Bombyx mori: one gene and its partner. The protein of the gene in region 2 binds, or shares a complex with, the protein of the main gene of each other region. Links are inferred from orthologs where the notes say so. Each region holds a gene or a part of one and is shown on either strand. Other genes may lie near its edges.

Region 1 (2,570 bases), on a different chromosome or scaffold from region 2:
AACTGTCTTGTCAAAATGATCATCCAGCGTAGGACCCGAGAAGTCCTGTTTGAAAACATCTTCTTCTTTATCCAAATAAAAGGCACCTCTAAAATTAGAAAATATAATCGTTATTAATTTTAATAGTTTTCACACTAAGCAAGTTTTTATGCTTCAAATTTTATGGTTAATAACTTTAATAATTTTCTTATTAAGCAAAATTATTTTTAATACAATTTTTAAAGTATGAATTTTACCTGTGATAATATTTCTGCAGAAACTTGTATTTTCCTTTGACTGCTTTATTTGTGACAACCTTTGGATTGATACGTTGTTCGAGGCGTCGCTCATCTTCGGTCATGTTGCGTAATCGTTCCAGAGTTAACATCTCTTTTTCGGCTCTGAAATAAAAATGAAAATGTTACACTGACTAAAAATCGACGGCCACTAAAATACATTAAAAATGTTTAATACTGACTAAAACTTTAGTCTCTTTAATATAACATTATTCGTTGTGAAACTTTAACATAGTTAATTTTATTAAAATTCCGAGACTGAATTCTTTAATCGTGCGATCTAAAAAATAAATTGTGATTTCAAATAACAATCACTGATAGAAAATCATTATCAGCTGCAGTCCTGACACGGGATTGACTAAATACATCAGCTGCAGTCTGAGATAATTTAGGCCAGAATAACATCTACGTGGATAAAATCTTAGCATATCTCAGCCTATCAGCATAACATCTACTTCACACAATCAAAACCCAAAACGTGGAACTCATATTTGAAATATGAGACGACTATTAATTTTAAAACAGAGTGAAGCATAAGTCTTGTACTAACTACATATGAGTCGTCTATTATCAAAGGCGGCAATCTGTACATTTGGACAAAAAATTTTTATTGATATGTCAATACAGATTTATTTGAATATAATCGTCTCCTTCAAAGAATACGGTTCAAAACCTGCATTAAATAAAGGTTAATAGTTAACCTGTTATTTATCTAAGATGTCGTTCCGAAGAGTTTTGTGACTGCCAATGGAATACAAAGTCAATAATTCGTTTTTCTGATTTACCAATCATTGTCCAAAAGTCAGATTGCCGGCTTTGATAATAGTCGACTCATATATACCATGGGTTAATAATAATACTCGGCAAATCTAAGGACCTCAGATTCTCACTTAGTAACTTAGCTTTTATTGCTCTAGCCAGGCACACTAGCTCTACCTACTGTAATGTTCAGAGAATACTGCTTCCCATCTTACAGTATATCTCTTAAAGGCCTTTGACGACATTGCGTATTGATGGTGAATACTGTTCTACCGTATAGCAGATACAGTTGAATTAACCTACAGTGTGCGCGCGAGTTCGTGTCCATCGGGGCCAGAGGTGACGCGCGGGGGGCAGCTCGCCCCGCCTCCGTCCGCCTCCCCGCGTTTGTCTGACGTTTAGTGTTGTCTTTGACAGTTGTGACGCGCGCTTATCGATATCAAAAATTTACGCTAACGCTATTGTGTTATTTCATGGTGAATAAACTACGACTACTTCGCTTCCAACAAGTTCAGGTAGAAAAAAACCTACACTGATTCGGACTCTGATCTGTCGGTTATCTTTTCATCTGATAGTAATTGAATTGGAATTTAAAAAATATTTTTCTCTATTAGAAATAAATAAGTAATTACTTACCACATTTATTTTATAATTTGCAAAATGACCTAGTTACAATAAACCAAATTGACAGCTATTGACTAAATCGGTAGTTATTATCGACACCATAATTAACTAGGTCACAGCACTACCGCATTCCTCAGGACGGACATGAACTCGCGCGCCTACTGTAGAAGAAAATAGCTTCCAAATGAATAATTTTAACTTACGCTTCCCTTTCTTCTTTATCTCGTTTGATACGTTTCATTTCACGCAACTTCCAAGCTTCATATTCCAGTTCGTCATTTTCATCATCTGTACATACATCATTTATATTCCCTTCTTTTTGTTCTCCCTAAAAGTATGTTTAAAAGATTGAAATTGTGAAGAATAAAAACAGTGTGAAAAATATTTGTTTTATTCGTAATTTCGCATCACTATTAATCAACGTTTTTATAAGAAAATATAAATCATCTAAAACTTCAGCAGTCAACAGACTATTGATGCATAATATACTTTTTTTTTATTGCCCTTGTAGGCATACCAGCATACGGCCCCCTTGATGAGTATTTACCGTCGCCCATGGACTGGGCCAGCAATGTCAGGGGCAGAACCCCGGCTGCTGCCTACTGAACCACCTGCCTTCTCCTAATACTTTGATATTAAGTGAAGCATCAATACACCACATTTATATACGTTCATATGTAAACAACATGTTTAAGACTTTATATACAAGGTTATGTTAGAGGAAGTCTGAAAGTGGCACCTGTGACAGAGAAGCTGAGGAGTGCACGTTTGGGATGGTATGGACATGTGATGAGACGGAATGAAAATGAGGTTGTTATGAGAGTGTTAACTATGAATGTGGAAGGATTTAGAGGAAGAGGTAGACCTAAGAAGAAATGGATGGATTGTGTGAAAGACGATATGGGTAGGAGG
Region 2 (3,662 bases):
AAAAAATGATGACTGCCTTTTTCAGGAACAAGAAAGTTGTCCGCAGCGAAATGTTTGCTCCCGGTCGTATGGCGTACGTGGTCGAGCTCGACGAAGAAGGCACAATCGATTCCGATATACCCACAACGTTGACTCGGAGTAAAGCGGACGTTCCCGAAATGGACGAAAGGAGTTCGGCTTCGAGTGCAAATGATCTTGTCGTCGAGAAACTGACTCAGATCTTCTCATATTTGAGGCACGGAAGACATAAGAAGCTGAAGAAGACTAAGGTTCCGTTTTTTTTCACTAATATCAGTTTTTTCGACCCAAATTAGTCATCAATTAATAGTTACTGGTGGTAGGACCTCTTGTAAGTCCGCACGGGTAGGTACCACCACCCTGCCTATTTCTGCCGTGAAGCAGTAATGCGTTTCGGTTTCAAAGGCGGGGCAGTCGTTATAACTATACTGAGACCTTAGAACTCTCAAGGTGGGTGGCGCATTTACATTGTAGATGTCTATGGGCTCCAGTAACCACTTAACACCACGTCGACTGTGAGCTCGTCCACAACACAATTACCCACTGAGTTTCTCGCCTGATCATTTCAGTGGGTCGCAATTCTGATCTTCTAGTAGATTCTCCACTGCTCTGGTTAGCAATTCTCTCAGGTTGAGCCCGTGAGCTCACCTACCCGTCCCGTCCGGACGTAGCTAGAATAGACTCTTAGGCTACCGGCGTATAGTTAGGACAAAACAAGGTAGATATAAATCGATGCTTATTTACTGAAATAAGTTTAAATACTTGCATCGTATAAGTGGTATTGTATTACGTTGGATGCGCTTACTAAAACAAGAAAATAAATCGAAATCCCTTCTTTTTTCTCCTACCTATGCTGATAGCCTTGAGAGGCTATTTTAGCTTCTCCTTGACGTGTGGGTGAGCTCACGGGGCTCAAATCGGGAGTGTTGTTAACACTGGCCCTACCAAGAGCAATACTTCGCAGAATCTTCGCACTAAGAAAATCCTGCAAGAAACTCAGTGGGCTGTGTCTATGGGTTAATTTACTCGTCGAGCCCTTCGTCGAAAGCGAGGGGCTCTACGAAGACGATGACCAGTGCTTGAAATACCTAAAAGCACCGTTAATGGATCGGGAGGATACGTAATGACGTGTTTAGGGCTGAAATCCCTATTACTTCTTCACACTGTTTATCAGGAAATCTTTTGTAACAGGACAAGACGACGGAGAAGGGTCGTAACGACGACTCTATATACGGCGAGATTGGTGACTACATGCCGGGAGAACGCCGCTCCGACAGGAGGGAGGAGAGGCCGCGAACCGGATACTTTGATAAGCCTGTTGAAACCGAGAAGGAAGAGGGTAACCATTTTGATTTTTATAAACAACTAGACGTACTCGCCCGCTTCGCTTGACATTTAAAATTAAAATTATTTATTGTCATTACTAGCTGACCCGGCAGACTTCGTAGTGCCTCAATCGATAAATAAAAGACCTAAACTTTTGTATAAAATAAACTTAAAACAAACAAAATGAATCCGTCCGACGGGGGACACATCAAAGAAAAAACAAAATTGTTATTTTTATTTAATTCCGAGCATTTTCATATTTATCTACCTTTTAAACCTTCTCTGGACTTCCACAAATAATTCAAAACTAAAATTAACCAAATTGGTCCAGTCGGTGGGACGAAGGCGTAGCGAAGGCGCGTTTTTATAGTGTAGCGTTGTTTCCAGGTCGCGGGAGAGCCTGGACACGATAATAATAGTATAATGTATATTTAAGGCCGTCAGCGCAGAAGTCGCCTAACCCGCAATTTTCATATTCGTGTTTATACTCTACTGCAATTTATTTAAAACATAAATACATTTTGATGCAAAACCGGCCTACCCATAGTTTCACACATAGATAACAGATGGATTTGTAAATATTATTTTTGCGCGTATTGTTTTTGCCTACAAAGCAGTGTAAAAGTTAATTCCAACCTCTTACTTTATTGCAGTTTCTTTCCTTTTTTTTTAAACCATAACATTTTGTTAGTACGAATTACTTATAATCTATGTTAGTAACTTAAAAAATCTAACACATAAGTATAATTACATACGTTTTTATATATTTTTTCCTTTCATTTGCCTGCTGCAAAGGCTATTAATCAGCAGTCCCCCTCGATCTTGCTCGATATGATTTTCAAAAGACTGTTGCCACTGTCACGGACTCGACGCAATAACGAGGCACTTCTCTTCCGCATCATCTCCATGTGAACTATGGTAAGCCTAGGCCACTTCTGCTCTGACAGCCTCGTTTATATTCCGCAGGCCCGATCCCTCGTCGTCAAGCAACAGGCAATAACGAAGAGCGCGACAAACGTTCCGCGGCGCTGCTGTCCAAGCTGGCGGCTGAGCCCGAGGGCTACGCCGAGTGCTACCCCGGCCTCAGGGAGATGGACGACGCCATAGACGACTCCGACGATGAAGTCGACTACACCAAAATGGACGCCGGGAACAAGAAGGGACCGATCGGTATGAACCTTATAAATCTTGCTATAGCTTCCCTAGAACTATATAAGTAACTAGCTGACCCGGCAGACTTCGTAGTGCCTCAGTCGATAAATAAAAAACCTAAACTTTTGTATAAAATAAACTTAATTTGTATAAAAACAAAACAAAAGGAATCCATCCGACAGGGGACATATCAAAGGAAAAACAAAGTTGTTTGTTTTTATATAATATCGAGCATTTTCATATATATTCACATTTTCAACCTTCTCTGGACTTCCACGAATAATTCAAGATCAAAATTAGCCAAATAGGTCCAGCCGTTCTCGAGTTTTAGCGAGACTAACGAACAGCAATTAATTTTTATATATATAGATAGATAGATAAGTAGTTATATAGAAGTAAAAAAAGGACATACAAAAGCACGCTCATTTAAATCTGAACGATGTTTAGTAATTGTTTTTGTTGATAGAATAAAAGAAATATAATCGAACAACGCCCAAAGAATTTTAACACTCAATCACAACGTATGACGTCATACGTGGCTAATCGTTGTGTTGTAATCGTTATCATTATAGGATTATCTTTTTACTTACTGAATCTCCGTATTTTTAACAATAACAACTATCTGCTTCCTGGATCTCTGTTCACAACATGGCATATGTAGAAAAACTAATGTTTACGTATACATTTGCTTTCGATCTATATATTCGCGCGTCTCTCATCCAATTTGTTAAGGCGCTGAGTCAAAAAACGTTTTAGCCTAAATACCATCAACATACAATGGGTCTGTGTAGATTAGTTTTAATAGATGAGCGGTCTACGTACATTCCGATCAGGATTTTACTGTTAGTGTAACTTCTTACTTCTTAGTCGAATACTTCATTGCTGAAGGTCGTGTCCTTGAAAGCTCTTCGTGGCTCTTTGTACCCTCAGCTTCCATTTGCTTCGGTTTTCGGCTTCTCTCAGGGCGTTGGTAACAGCTAGTGTAACGCGACCCTATAATTTTTTACTGGTGGAAGGACCTCTTGTGAGTCCACACGGGTAGGTACCACTACCCTGCCTATTTCTGCCATGAAGCAGTAATGCATTTCGGTTTAAAGGGTGGGGTAGCCGTTGTAACTATACTGAGACCTTAAAAAATCTCAAGGTGGGTGGCGGCGCATTTACGT

Evidence for each region.
Region 1: protein Red (region 2) and microfibrillar-associated protein 1 share a complex: the UniProt entries of both Homo sapiens proteins name them as parts of the spliceosome B complex. The link is inferred for Bombyx mori from reciprocal best matches to the Homo sapiens genes IK and MFAP1.

Annotation. Positions count from the first base shown.
Region 1 is NC_085127.1:8,420,771-8,423,340, forward strand, and holds part of microfibrillar-associated protein 1, read right to left. Parts: intron 1,987-2,570; coding exon 1,862-1,986; intron 381-1,861; coding exon 237-380; intron 89-236; coding exon 1-88. UniProt on the Homo sapiens protein: Involved in pre-mRNA splicing as a component of the spliceosome.
Region 2 is NC_085122.1:6,721,873-6,725,534, forward strand, and holds part of protein Red, read left to right. Parts: intron 1-25; coding exon 26-269; intron 270-1,209; coding exon 1,210-1,357; intron 1,358-2,310; coding exon 2,311-2,514; intron 2,515-3,662. UniProt on the Homo sapiens protein: Involved in pre-mRNA splicing as a component of the spliceosome. Auxiliary spliceosomal protein that regulates selection of alternative splice sites in a small set of target pre-mRNA species. Required for normal mitotic cell cycle progression.